Saccharomyces cerevisiae S288C: one gene and its partners. The protein of the gene in region 3 interacts with the protein of the main gene of each other region in a biochemical or structural test. Each region holds a gene or a part of one and is shown on either strand. Other genes may lie near its edges.

The links.
Region 1: the proteins of SGT1 (region 3) and SKP1 form a complex in vitro, tested with the Saccharomyces cerevisiae proteins (6 studies listed by BioGRID, with this or other methods).
Region 2: the proteins of SGT1 (region 3) and HSC82 form a complex in vitro, tested with the Saccharomyces cerevisiae proteins (2 studies listed by BioGRID).

What each region holds. Positions count from the first base shown.
Region 1 is NC_001136.10:1,123,671-1,127,702, forward strand, and holds SKP1 (SCF ubiquitin ligase subunit SKP1), read right to left. Parts: upstream 2,349-4,032; coding exon 1,764-2,348; downstream 1-1,763. Other genes in the region: YSP2 (Ysp2p), read right to left, coding at 1-1,255; PEX3 (Pex3p), read right to left, coding at 2,600-3,925.
Region 2 is NC_001145.3:630,830-636,235, reverse strand, and holds HSC82 (Hsp90 family chaperone HSC82), read right to left. Parts: upstream 3,882-5,406; coding exon 1,764-3,881; downstream 1-1,763. Other genes in the region: YMR187C (uncharacterized protein), read left to right, coding at 252-1,547; RTP1 (Rtp1p), read right to left, coding at 4,266-5,406. UniProt on the Saccharomyces cerevisiae protein: Molecular chaperone that promotes the maturation, structural maintenance and proper regulation of specific target proteins involved in cell cycle control and signal transduction such as CNA2. Undergoes a functional cycle that is linked to its ATPase activity.
Region 3 is NC_001147.6:429,349-435,219, reverse strand, and holds SGT1 (co-chaperone SGT1), read right to left. Parts: upstream 3,035-5,871; coding exon 1,847-3,034; downstream 1-1,846. Other genes in the region: ASE1 (Ase1p), read left to right, coding at 1-1,532; NOB1 (rRNA-binding endoribonuclease), read left to right, coding at 3,594-4,973; phosphopantothenoylcysteine decarboxylase complex subunit VHS3, read left to right, coding at 5,363-5,871. UniProt on the Saccharomyces cerevisiae protein: Involved in ubiquitination and subsequent proteasomal degradation of target proteins. Required for both entry into S phase and kinetochore function.

The DNA.
Region 1 (4,032 bases), on a different chromosome or scaffold from region 3:
GAAATTTCACTTTGCCAACATTTGATCTATCATCCCTATCATTGTCGTTCTCGGTTTCAGAGTTAGAGTTTGCATTTACGTTTCTATTGTTAGGTGTCAAAGAACCTGAAAGGGGCGTAGTCGATGTATTTGTAGGTACCAGTTGAGTTGATGGTGAAAGAAATGCTTTGGAAAGAGGCGATAACTCTTCCTCGTCATCCCCTTCCTCTACTTGAGTATGTTTATCAGAGGCTGGACCAGAAGTGGGGGATAGTAAATAATCTAAATGACGCAAAAATGATGAACTGCGGTGGGCTGTGTTAGCGGAGGGGGAATGAATGAGCACTGTGTCATTGGGATTTTGGTTAGCATTTTCGGAAACAGGTAAGGGCCCTTGTTGCTGTGACAAGGGATGTTGCTGCTGCGCGTGGTGGATATGGAAATAAGGATGGCGAGTTGAACCTGTATGACTTTCACCTGAATGCGAAAATTCACGTTGTATCTCAGTATTTAAGGCTGAAATTTTAGGGACATGAGATATGGCACTATGAGCAATTGATAGAATAGTATCAAATAGACTGTTTGAAGAATTCTCAATGTCGTTATTGTTGTTAATATTATTGGGTGCTGACATTGAATCGATAGCTGGGTGCGAAGAACTTTGAGAGTCATCCTTCTGTAAGATGCTCAAAACTGGTCGTTCATTCTCAGAAGACGAAGAATTGAATGTATTTTTAGTATCAGTATGTTTGACTTTCTCACTTGCTCTATCTATAGTCACTGGAATATTAAAATAACCTTGTGGAGAAGTATTCGGTTTCTTCAAGCCAGCCTTAGAATTTTGTAGCGATCTTCGAGGTATGAAAGTCAAGTCTATACCATGTTTGTTCTTATTACTCTTATTACTAATATGACTTCTACTACTCCTTATTGAGACGATATCTGGTAGCTCTAAAGGCAGTGGTGGGATAGAATCACTAAAATGAGGAGTATGAGAATATTGAGCAGGAGAGTTTGAACCAGAGTTACCGGCAACACCTTCATTAGTAGAGCCTATGTCGGTCAGTACTCTTCTCTTAGCGATGGTCTTTCTGCCATTGTTGGCCCTTCTTAATGATAGGGATGATTTTGCTGCGGAATTGGTAGATTCCTTCCTTGTACGAGTGGTCTTACTTCTTTCCATAACAGGTTGCTTTTTCCTTGACATCAATTTCAGTTTCTTGAAAAAATGACCATCACTAAATGACCTTTTTTTGCGAGTAGCTTCATCCCTCATTGGTTAGGGATATCTGTACAGCTGCTGCTTCTATATATTTATATGTGATTAGCAATCAATATACCCTATTTTAGATGAATAATTTAAAGCAAAGGGTTAAGCTGGTGTTGAAATGCTCGAAGAAAATAAACTTGACTTAAAATTTAGACCAAATATTTCACAAATATGATTCAAAACGGAGTGTTTACAGCTATCTGTCCTAAATTTATCCCGTCTCATCATGTAAACAATAGCTTTTATAACTCAATAATTTTCCTTTTTTCTTCTTGTCACTTTTGCGGCTTTTAGAAGACGCCTATCGCTACACACGACGATGGACCACACATCTTATTGTAGTTTGAAGTTTATGTAAACTGTATACATATATAATTCATACATGCTTGGTTATGGTGGACTAACGTACACATTGCATGACAGCAAGCCTTGTTTGCTTATTTTTGCCTATCTTGCTCTGAAATGGCGCATTATCATCGGAAGAAAGGATCACAGTCATCAGAGGAAATGTAGGCTAACGGTCTTCAGCCCATTCATTTTCACGCCTAATGGCAGCCTCCTCCTCTGGAGTGAAGTCGTTGACGATATTAAACGTTCTTCTAATTTCCTCGGGAGACCTTCCCCTGATCATTTCAGCAACCACCTTGCAGCCAGCGTCAAGCAAGGGCTTGATGTTGAGGTAGTTTGCCGCCAGAATAATTTCGTATAGCATCTCTTGGTCCACTTTCAGGAATTCTCTGTCCCATGAGTCCACGGGAGCACTCTTTCTGGAATCGTCGTCATCTTCGTCAGGGAAGTTAGAGTCTCTGTGGTGCTCGGCCCATTCGATAACCTTCTGCAAAACGGAAGACCGAACATTGGGCACGGGCATCACAATCTCGTCGTCATCCTCATCGTCGTCGTCACCGTTATTGTTGTCTTTGCTTTTGTGGTTCGTTTCCGAGTCTGAATCTGATTCTGAATCTGAGTTGTTTTGTAGGTTGCTGTCATGCATATCGTTCAGATAGTTTTTCAATAGCAGGGATCTCTCCGCGATTTTCTTGTCTACGGTGAATCGTTCACCCTCACCACTCACTAGGACAACATTAGAAGTCACCATATCTGCGCTACGTTTGTTAGTATTCCTGTATTGTTTATAACGTCTTTTCTGTTATATCTTTGCCAACGTTGGGCTATCACTTTCTCTGCCCTCAATATATCAACCTATTTCTTCCCTTTCTCTTCTTTTCTCCAAGACGCCCGTTAAATCGCTGCAGGGTAATGTCATGTTACCTATTGCACACTTACTGTATTAAAGATTACGCTATATATATATATATTCTGGTGTGAGTGTCAGTACTTATTCAGAGATTAAGGCTTGAAGGAAAACGAGCTGGAGACGCCAAAGTTGCTGTATACGCTGGCGCTCAGATCATCGAGCGGCTGCACAGAATCCAGAGTGGCCAGGTATTCGTTCACGCTGCCGCTATGGGAAGACCCGGCAGTTGTTTGAAGCATTTCTTGGCAACAGTCTTTCATCGACATAGCGAAAACTGCCATTTGATACTGTTGCTGATCTTCTTGGCCAGGTTTTTTCTTGGCTATTGTCTTTATGCCGACCTTGTTCATTATGAAATGGAATGATTCATTTATTAGAGACTCTAACACTATGGATGTTGCTGTGCTTTCGATACATTGGGTCAGTTCATTCACCAATTGATTAAAAACTAGTGTGTTAGAGTGAAAACTTGTTAAAGCATCCGCGTCAAGCGTCTGTGACAGAAGAAACTCCTGTCCACTGGAATCTTTAGGAAGCAAAATAGACGTGAGGTTATTATTATTTTGCTGGAATATTTGGGAATTCGTGTTCCGGAATATGTTCGTGAGACGAGAACTAAATTCTTCTAACGTTAGAGTATCTCTTGGGTGTATGCCGTCAAATTCAATTTCGATTTGATTTGTAATTATTTCATTGTAACTCAACCACCCCTTGTTAAGAATCCACCATGATAGTGATAGGAAAGCTTGCTCATTAATATACACTTCCTGGCCTTCTTTCTTTGACTTTTTTGCTGCCATTACCATTGCATCATCCGCTTTGTCCTCCGGATCGCTCCACCACGATGTAACCCAGTTATAGAACCTATTCTGTAGTTTGTTGCAGTTTTCCTGCTGCATGGTTAATTTTATTGCGGAGTCCAGGTACTCGTTTCTTGTCAGGATATTTAGTTGCAGTCTTGTTAAAAGAATCAGCGACGATACTGTGTACGTCACTGTCACCAGCTTGATCAAACTCTTTAGTTCTAACTCGTTCCACAACTCAGCTTTACTTTTTAACGGCGAACTTTCTCTGCTTTCACTAGACTTTGCTCTAGTCAACTGGTTCTTTTGGTCCTTTAATTGGGTAACGATGCTGTCCAAATTCAAATCGTTTTCATTCAAAACCATTCTCCATACAGGAAGTAGCTCGTATATTGTGTACAACGAGTCTTCCTGTGTCTGCTCGAACCTTCTTTTGATCTGTTCTTTGATGAAGTGTTGCTCAGTAATCCGTAACTGCTGTTTATACAACCATCTCTTCACGAAAAACACTACCACCGACCCTGTGGTAAATAAAGCAGCTATTCCAGTCAATGAAATGAGTACCTTTCCTCGATGTCTCTGCAGAAGCGAACGTGATCTTTGATTTGGGGCCATCCTTTTAGTGGTTTGCCTCCTTGTTTCGTGCTTCTGCTTTTACGATGACTAGTATTAACTACCTCAATAATATACCCCATGCTCATATAAGTCGAATAACGCCCTTA
Region 2 (5,406 bases), on a different chromosome or scaffold from region 3:
TGTAAATATATACAACTACAAGACTTCGTTACGTAAATAGTAAAGTGTTATGTTTTGACTTTAAAATATTCTAGTGAAAAGAACGATGTTTTTGATTTTCTATCGTTTAACGCATTTATATATTTTCAGGCAAGTGATATCGAAGATGTGAGTACATCGCTCGTCCCCATCGTCAAAAACAAAAGTAAATAAAAGAGCTCTGCTCTGATTTTACAAACAAGAAAATTCCAAGGAAATAGTCCAAGTTTTATATGACCCCACCTCATTTTTTTTTATCTCTCATAAAAAAAAGATGCATATGCTGGATATGTTTGGAAGAATCCACATATGACTCTACATGGCTACAGCACACGTGCGGTTGCAACTTACAAATTCATAAACGCTGCTATATAAGATGGCTCTATCAAATGCATGTTGAACTTTTTCTTCCGAACACAGTGGACCTACCAAAGGATGCTGATTTACCTATAATCACCTGTTTAAAATGTCTCGTTGATGGGCACCATGATTTTATGACGACTTTCTCTCTTACAGAAATATGGGAAACTCGTCCCATTTGGGGGCAAAAATCAGTACCGTTTCAAAATGACTACGTGTTCAATCTAATGTCTCTTTATACCAAACGGGATAATCATCCACCTTATGTGTTAGTGAAATTTGGCGAATGTCCTCAATGCAAGAAAACAAATTTCATAAAAAGACCTACAGTAACCATCCAGTCTTCTGTACTATCCCTGTTTTATCAGTGGCAAAAAATTACACGATACGTGATACCATTAGGGATAACTAGTTTATTTCTTTTAAACCCTGAAAAGACAAGTTTTGACATTGGATTATGGCAACTACGCTGCCTTTTCCCTGAGAATGTTCTACGAAATATGTTAAACATCAGCACTACAAAGGCATTGGACGTATATGCGCAAACTGAACGTGGCTTATTAAGCATTCCTTTAACCTCCTCGATCATAATATATGGGTTCATACATTATCTTAGCAACATTTCTAACGTCAGTGCTAATGCAATACTCTTTAAGTGGGTGTATCTCAGTATTGTAAAAACTGCTGGAAACAAATATTACAAGGGTATAGGTTTACCTAAAATAATTTTGTATTCTAACTTGGCTACATTTTGCTATAATTTTACCTTTAAAAGATTGGTTGACTTAATTTACAGGAGGCTGATCAATAAAGGAGGTAAGTATTTGTATCACGGAAATTTTGAAAACTCTAGTAATAGCGTTCCAGCTGAGGAATTTTTTATCAGGCGGAATTGGTATGCTATTCTTGCAGAAAAGATACTATGGCCCTTTGTTGGTAAATGTACAGGAGGTCTTCTATTGAATGCTTTTCTATGGATACAGAGAAAGTTTAAAATTGAATGGACGCCGAATTGCTCCCCTTCGGAATTTAGAATGATTTTCAATATTATAGGTTGTGGTACTGCTGCTATAGGCTGGTCAAGTCTGAAGCTCTATGCCAGTTACAAAAGATGTCAGGAACTTGAAAAGATCAATGAATTTATTGAACAAAGTTGCAAAGGTGAGTAAATAAGTCATTCGTAAGTGTACACTAAACTTTAAGGACAGCTGGTAGGACAATTTTATGGTCATTTGACAGCTGATGTCTTAAATTGTGTGCTATGGTTCATGTTTACATTAAGACCAACTTTTTTAAAGGCGCGTAAAGCAGAATCATTATTACAAATAGTAAAAATAAGTAAACAAATTTATATAATATATAAAACATGAAGGCGAAAAAAGAGATTAATCAACTTCTTCCATCTCGGTGTCAGCTGGAACCTCTTCAACTGGAGCTTCGGTAGAAGCTTCTGGAGCGGTTTCTGTTTCTTCATCCTCATCAATGTTCAAACCTAAAGAAATCAATCTATTTATTCTTGATGCAAAAGAAGTTGGTTCTTCCAAACTGAAACCAGAAGTCAACAAAGCGGTCTCGAATAATAAGTTAGTCAAATCTTTGACGGTCTTATCTTGTGCACCACCCTCATCAACTCTCTTTTTCAATTCCTTAATAATTGGAGATTTTGGAGAAATTTCGAAAGTCTTCTTGGAAGACATGTAGGAGGACATGGAAGAGTCTCTCAAGGCTTGAGCCTTCATGATTCTTTCCATGTTAGCAGACCAGCCGAATTGACCAGTTCTGATGGCAGCTGGAGCATCTAGCAATTTGTAAGAAACAACAACCTTCTCCACTTGGTCACCCAAGATATCCTTCAAGGCCTTGGTCAATGGTTCGTATTCTTTGATCTCCTTCTCTCTTTCAGCTTTTTCTTCGTCTGTTTCTTCCAATTCGAAATCTTTAGTAATGTCAACCAAAGTTTTACCCTCGAATTCCTTCAATTGAGTGAAAGCGTATTCATCAATTGGGTCGGTCAAGAACAAAACTTCAAAGTTCTTAGCCTTCAAGGCGTCCAAGAATGGAGACTTTTCGACTGCCTTTAGAGATTCACCGGTGATGTAATAGATGTTCTTTTGGTGTTCTGGCATTCTAGTAACGTAATCAGTCAAGGAAGTCAATTCATCGACAGATTTAGTAGAATTGTAACGTAGCAACTTAGCTAAAGCAGCTCTGTTTTGAGTGTCCTCATGTACACCCAGCTTAATGTTCTTAGCGAAGGCAGAGTAAAATTTGTCAAATTGCTCGGAGTCTTCAGCGATTTCGTTGAAGGCTTCAATCAATTTCTTGACAATATTCTTTCTAATAACCTTCATAATCTTATTTTGTTGTAACATTTCTCTGGACAAATTCAATGGTAAATCTTCAGAGTCAACAACACCCTTGACGAAAGATAACCACTCTGGAATCAAGTCTTCAGCTTCATCAGTGATGAAGACACGACGAACGTACAACTTGATATTGTTCTTCTTCTTCTTACTCTCAAATAAGTCGAATGGTGCTCTCTTTGGAATGAACAAGATAGCTCTAAATTCCAATTGACCTTCAACAGAGAAATGCTTAACGTACAATGGGTCTTCCCAGTCGTTAGAAATAGACTTATAGAAAGCATTGTATTCCTCTTGAGTGATATCAGATGGGTTTCTAGTCCATAATGGCTTAGTCTTGTTCAACTCTTCTAATTCTTGAACCTCTTCTTTAACTTTTTTGGTTTTTGGCTTCTTTTCTTCTTCTTCTTCATCGACTTCTTCCAATTTTGGTTTCTTGTCATCTTCATCCTTCTTTTCCTCGTCTTTCTTTTCTTCTTCTGGAATTGGAACTTCCTTTTCGACTTCCTTGGTGACTAGAAGTTGGATAGGGTAAGCAACGAATTCAGAATGTCTCTTGATGACTTCTTTAATTCTCTTTTCTTCCAAGTACTCCAATTGGTCATCTTTCAAGAATAATCTCAAGACGGTACCTCTACCAATTCTTTCGTTAACTTCGTCCAAAGTAACGGTGAAAGAACCACCGGCATTAGATTCCCAAATATATTGTTCGTCCTCATTGTTCTTGGAAATAACTTGAACTCTGTCGGCGACTAAGAATAAAGAGTAAAAACCAACACCGAATTGACCAATCATGGATACATCGGCACCAGCAGATAGAGCTTCCATGAAAGCTTTAGTACCAGACTTAGCAATGGTACCCAAATTGTTAATCAATTCAGCCTTGGTCATACCAATACCAGAATCTCTGATTTCCAAAACTTTTTCTTCTGGTTTTGGGGTGATTCTAATGAACAAATCTGGTTCGGTTTCCAATTGCTTTGGATCAGACAAAGCTTGGTATCTAATTTTGTCTAAAGCATCGGAGGCGTTAGAGATCAGTTCTCTCAAGAAAATTTCCTTGTTAGAATAGACAGTGTTGATGATCAAACTCATCAACTGAGTGATTTCAGCTTGAAATTCAAAAGTTTCACCAGCCATATTTCAGAATGATTCTATTTTTCTATTGGTTCTGTAGCGTTTCAAGAAAAAGAAAACAAGAGAAAGAATATATCACAAAAAATATAATGCATGTGTTCATGTCACTTACGGTAGGCAGTTCACATGCCACTCTTTTTATACAAATCTCCTCCCTCATTACCCAACGCTTGGTGGAAGTTCGAGAAAACGAGAAAAATTGTTCTTTCACCTTCTAGAAAGAAAAGTGCCCAGAAAACAGAAAGGCGGGTAATAAAATGCATCGGCGGCTATTTTAACTTTCTATTGGTAATGGCTGCTGTTCTATGAATACAAAAAGAAAGAATATAAAAGAACGTAAATATTAATTTTGCCTAAGAAGCAAATTATAATCAAATGCGTAATGGGTTATAAACTATCTAGTACGGTTAAAAGCTTGTCAATCTGTTCACAAACCATGTAATCTTCATCTTGATCACGAACGTAAGATAATAGTGTTTTTAGCTTATCGTAGTTGTACTCAAAGGGAAGTAAATCAAATCCTGTACTGTACAACAAATCATGTATCAAGTGTACGGCACTTCTTCTCATCAAAAAAGAATCATCCTTGTCCTTCAAATGATTTTGTGGTTGTTCTAATTGCAATATTCCAAATACACAATCCAGCATATCGCGAATTCTATCCGAGACACCCCTGGCGTTGATTTGAAGGCACATACCTAAGATTGACATGGATGACATACGCCATCTATTGTCCAATGGTTTACTATCATTTGGCCTCACAATACTAAGACAGGTATCTATAATCAGATAAGCCAATTTACCCTGGAACAATTCGTTCTGACGTTGAATGTAATTGATGAACACTTCTCCAACTTTCAGCACATCATCTAATCTGTTTTTCTTTTTTTTGTTAGCATAAAATTCTGCAAGTAGAGGCAATATGGTTTCTGGCTCTAATTCACATAGCGTTGTAAGTCCTTTAATAACGTTGAGATAAATGAAAGGGTCCATATTCTTTAAATAATCTAAATGTATTTGCAACACCTTTTCCAGTGAAATTACTGGAGACTTCTTTTCAGCTAGATGACGTAGTTCTGTTAAACCATAAGATTTTATGGGCACTAAAGGATCATGTAGACTAGTTATCGCTTTGTCAAGCCTTTCCTCATCCATCTCAATTTCTATGTTGTCGTTCCTTTCCGTAGTATGTCCGTTAATCAATATATTATCTATTGATGCCAATAATGCATCTATTTCGGAAGCATTAGTGTTGAAAGATTGTAATTTTCTAGAAATGGATTTCAATATATAACTGTTTTGCAATAATATACTACTGGACGATTCTGAAAGGACGGTTGATAATAACTGCAAGATAATTTTGTAGGAAGAATTTTCATTTGGATCCAATTCTTCTGTTTCTTCTCCTTCTTCAACTTCGTCGTCAGAATCTGCTTCTACTTCCTGTATTGTTTCATCTTTTTCCTGAACAACATCTATCAATTGATCAATAACAATAAGAACGTCCTTAGGTTTATTAACAATCTTG
Region 3 (5,871 bases):
ATTTCCACCCGGTAGACAGAGAAAGAATGTCTAAAATTGATATTACATTGGAAAAACTGCAAGCTATCCATAAGGAAAGAGCAGACAAAAAGAGGCTCCTGATGGAACAATGCCAAAAACTTTGGACAAGGCTAAAAATTTCTCAAGAATACATAAAGACTTTTATGCGTAACAATTCAAGTTTATCAACCGAGTCCTTAGGTAGAATCTCTAAAGAAGTTATGCGACTTGAAGCAATGAAAAAAAAACTAATAAAAAAACTTATATCAGATTCCTGGGACAAAATTCAGGAATTGTGGCGTACGTTACAGTATTCAGAAGAAAGTCGGTCTAAATTCATCATTGTATTTGAAGAACTAAGGAACAGTGCAACAACTTTACAGGAAGATGAGCTTCTTCTAGAAACTTGCGAAAATGAGCTAAAAAGACTAGAAGAAAAACTGACCCTTTATAAGCCAATTTTAAAATTAATATCAGATTTTGAATCTTTACAAGAAGATCAAGAATTTTTGGAAAGAAGTTCAAAAGACTCTTCACGGCTTTTGTCTAGAAATTCTCATAAGATATTACTAACTGAAGAAAAAATGAGGAAAAGGATAACAAGACACTTTCCTCGAGTCATCAATGATTTAAGAATTAAATTAGAAGAGGCCGATGGTCTATTTGATCAACCTTTTTTGTTCAAAGGTAAGCCACTTTCAGAAGCAATTGACATTCAGCAACAGGAAATCGAAGCAAAATATCCAAGATGTAGAGTTAGAATGCAGAGATCTAAAAAGGGAAAATGTGGTGCGAACAAAGAGAATAAAGTCATAAAAAACACTTTCAAGGCCACAGAAAGTTCCATCAGGGTACCGATTGGTTTGAATTTAAATGATGCCAACATTACTTATAAAACGCCTTCAAAGAAAACAATACAAGGCTTAACAAAGAATGATCTATCCCAAGAGAACTCGCTTGCTCGTCATATGCAAGGAACAACGAAGTTATCTAGTCCGAACAGAAGAGCAACAAGATTACTAGCACCCACAGTAATATCTAGGAATTCCAAAGGGAATATAGAGAGACCTACCTTAAACAGAAACAGATCATCCGATCTTTCATCATCGCCTAGGATAAATCATACGCATGGCGAACATGCAGTAAAACCACGCCAATTGTTTCCTATCCCGCTGAACAAAGTCGACACTAAGGGTAGTCATATCCCTCAATTAACTAAAGAAAAGGCTTTAGAACTTCTTAAAAGGTCGACTGGCACCACGGGTAAGGAGAATGTACGAAGCCCGGAACGCAAAAGCTCATTAGAAGATTACGCACAAAAATTGAGCAGTCCTTATAAAGAACCTGAGCACAGCATATATAAACTTTCCATGTCGCCAGAAGGTAAATTTCAATTAAACATTCAACAAAAAGATATTGAAAGCGGATTTGATGATACCAGTATGATGGAAGATGAAAATGATAAGGATTTTATTACATGGAAAAATGAGCAAGTTTCGAAATTGAATGGATTCTCCTTTACAGATATTTGAATTTCTTAAAAGCGCATTCATTTAACCCTCTGATCTCTTATTTATTTTTTTTGTGGTTTTTTTTTTCACATCACTTTCTAGCCTTCGCTACATTGTCTCTTTCTTTCCTTCTTTTATTCTATCATTCTCCCTTTCCTTTTTCCATTGCACCGTGACTCTGGATTAATATGGACATAATAAAATTTGTAATATTCAATATAATCATGTAAGCATTCCAAGTAAATACGCAGGTTGGCTAGTCTAAATCGAAAATGTAACATTACTACCATACTATATATCTACATATTGTAATTGTGTAGGTATATACTAATCATTTACCAATGTTTAGGTTCCATGCCTTCTGGTGGTGAAGTTTTAACCGTTCCCTTAGATACGTCTTCCCAGTCTGTACTCAATGCAGTACCATTACTTTCTATAAAGGATTTCATCATAGCCCTTTTGGTATCTGGATCCGCTCCAGCGTAAAGCTTTTGAAAGAAACTATCAGCCGATCCCGCTTCTTCATCAGCTTCTTCATCAATGTCAAGTTTAGACCAATCTATTTTTTTTTTAGAGGACGATGGATAAGACAATCTCTCTTTTGATGCCGTTTCTGCTGATAATAAGCGGGTTGCAGAATCAGAATTTTTACCCTCATCTGATAACCTTGAGGATTCCGTTAAAATATCTTCTTCCAACTTCTTCCATTGCGTGCTATCAATTTTGCTCAAGGTAATTTCCAGCTTTTTTGGGAAAATTTTTAATGACACTGCTTTTGGATCCACCTCATGCGAAAGCTTAGCGTTGTATTGAAATTCAGATCCAGATTTCGGTACTTGGTACGATATCGATAAAGTTCTTCTATCGTTTGGAGAAATATATATATTGACTTGTTCCTTAGACTCAGGAAGATTAACAGTAAATAATGATATAGTGACAGAGGTGCTGGATTGATACCAATCGATTTTAAATTTAGGGGATTCTTGAGGAGCGGTTTCAATTTTGAGAGGTGAAATGGGACTATGAGAAGAATTATTATCTCCTCTGTTTTCAATACTTTCCACTGGTTTAATTGTATGCTTATTAGTTGAATCCTTCTGCTTTTTATTTTTTTTATTCAATTTTGTCTCCAGACGATCTTCCCATAAAGGCAAAGTGTCATCAACGTAACCAAGATTCTTGGCTTTTTTAAAATAAGATTGGGCCAGTTCATAATCTTTGATATTGAAGAAATGAACAAAATAACGAAAGTTAACAAGACCAATCTTCGATCTATCGCCCCTACCCTCAGCTGTCATTAGAGCCTTGTCAAGAAGTTCCTTTGCGTTTTCCATAGTTGCATCGCTGTGCCAATCAGAAAACCCAAAGTATAGCTTTTCAAGACATGCTGCCTTAAAAATGAGAGCCGTTAAATTTGTGGGTGAGCCTTTGAGAATTTCATCATAAAGATGGAGGGCCTTCAGTGGTTCCTTCTCATCATACAAAGCTTTGTAGGCAGTTTTTAAATCTTTTTCAACAGGCATTTCTTTTTCGTTTCCTTAAAACAACTACCTCTTTAACCTTAAAAGACTTCTGCCATTACTTTGTCATAGTGCTTTCGTTCAATTATTAGCGTTCAAAGATATATCGCATATGATCAACTCATCTTGAGACCTTACACCCTAAAGTGCTTATATTGGCTTCGTTTATAGTGATCAAAGTCATCAATATAGTGCTCGTCAGTGTAAGACTGAGAAGATCATTCTTAAAAGAATTAGCAGATGATGCATAAGCACTATGGCGGTATTATCTACTATCATTTCTCTTGTATCTGTGCTGAGCCTGGTTCTATTGAAGAAGAATTCAAAATTTGAATGTCTCAATAGAAAAACCCGGACATTCCATAATGCAAGATCAAAATTTTTCGATGAGCTTTGTTTTGCATTGGCAAATTTTTACCTGCTAAGAAGAAGTCTACATGGAGAAACAGCACCATTATCTCAAGTATGTTCTTAACATAGAGGTCGTTCAGTCAGCGCTAGATAAATCTCATCGGCGATCATAGTTCAGTATTTTTCTAAAGTTTCTTTAAAGGAGCATAATATGACCGAAAACCAAACCGCACATGTAAGGGCGTTGATATTGGATGCCACCCCATTAATTACGCAGTCCTACACACATTACCAGAATTATGCACAGTCTTTTTATACTACTCCCACAGTTTTTCAAGAAATTAAGGATGCTCAAGCAAGGAAAAACCTTGAAATTTGGCAGAGCCTCGGAACTTTGAAATTAGTACATCCAAGTGAAAACTCGATAGCCAAAGTAAGTACGTTCGCCAAATTGACCGGTGACTACTCCGTACTGAGTGCCAATGATTTGCATATTCTTGCTTTGACATACGAGTTAGAAATTAAACTAAATAATGGCGATTGGAGACTGAGGAAAAAACCAGGTGATGCATTAGATGCGTCCAAGGCTGACGTTGGTACGGACGGCAAACAGAAGCTCACAGAAGATAATAAAAAGGAGGAGGACTCTGAAAGTGTTCCAAAAAAAAAGAACAAGAGAAGAGGTGGAAAAAAGCAAAAGGCAAAAAGAGAAGCAAGAGAAGCAAGAGAAGCTGAAAATGCAAACCTTGAGCTAGAGAGTAAAGCTGAGGAACATGTTGAGGAGGCTGGATCCAAAGAGCAGATATGTAATGATGAAAATATAAAGGAATCTTCCGATTTAAATGAAGTATTCGAGGATGCTGATGATGATGGTGATTGGATTACCCCCGAGAACTTAACAGAAGCAATTATTAAGGATAGTGGTGAAGATACCACTGGTTCATTGGGTGTAGAAGCGTCCGAAGAGGATCGCCATGTCGCATTGAATCGACCAGAGAATCAGGTGGCATTGGCGACTGGCGATTTTGCCGTCCAAAATGTAGCGTTGCAGATGAATCTAAATCTAATGAATTTCATGTCAGGTCTGAAAATCAAGCGAATCCGTAATTATATGCTAAGATGCCACGCCTGTTTCAAAATATTTCCTCTACCAAAAGACGGCAAGCCAAAGCACTTCTGTGCCTCATGCGGTGGACAGGGTACCTTATTAAGATGCGCAGTTTCCGTTGACTCACGCACGGGGAACGTTACACCGCACTTGAAGTCGAACTTCCAATGGAACAATAGAGGAAACAGATATTCTGTAGCCAGCCCCTTATCTAAGAACTCCCAAAAAAGGTACGGCAAAAAGGGACACGTACATTCTAAACCACAGGAAAATGTGATTCTCAGAGAAGATCAAAAGGAGTACGAAAAGGTGATAAAGCAAGAAGAATGGACAAGAAGACACAACGAGAAGATTCTAAACAATTGGATTGGTGGCGGTTCTGCGGATAACTATATTTCTCCATTTGCAATTACTGGGTTGAAGCAGCATAACGTCCGCATTGGTAAGGGAAGGTACGTCAACAGTTCCAAAAGGAGAAGTTAGTGTTTTTCATAAATATCTGTGTAGTGTGTACTAGTTGGCAGCTGCCCTTTTTCTTTTTCTTTTTTTTTTTTTTTTTTTTTTTTTTTTCACGTGGTTTTTCTATGACGTTTTCCAAAACAAGCGTGTCATGTGAGCTTTTTTGCCCTTTAACTTTCTGGTTGGAGAGTCCAAAAGACCGAAAAGGTAAGAAAACGTTTTATTGCTCAGTATGCCCTCCCCTTATGAGATGAATGGTGTTACAGCACTTTGAAGAGGGCTCGTTTTGAGGACTTTTTGATCAGGATTAATACTAGATTGCCAAAAAAAGGATAGCCTTTTATAAGATTACTTTAGTTCAAAGAAGAGACCAGAAAGAGGAATACTGGCCATAATTATAGTGCAGAGACGCAATGACAAACAAATCTAGCCTGAAGAACAATAGGAAAGGGGTTGCTTCGAATACTCTCTCTGGAGCTGAGCAGGCCAATATAGGTTCATCGGCAATGCCTGACACAAATTCTACGGGACCATTTTCTTCCGTTTCTAGTCTGGACACTCCTGTAGTAAGGAAATCAACTAGTCCCACTGGTTCACAAACTAAGTCAATCATGAATGCTAGCGGAACTTCTGGGGCAGTTGTAAGTAATACACCAGAGCCAGGGTTAAAAAGGATACCAACTGTTACATTCAGCGATCCAAAGTTGGGTAGTCTCAGGTCGGATGTGGAGCAAACTCCACCTAACCAGGTGGCCAGACAGTCCAGCGAAAAGAAAGCAACGTCTGTACACATCGCAGCGGAGGGTGCAAATCAAGGAAGAAACTTGAAAGACATAAATACAAAAGTACCAAAAGATGGCGAGGCTTCTGCTTCTTCTTTTTCGACTCCAACCTCTATTCTCTCCAATGCTGATATGGGGAA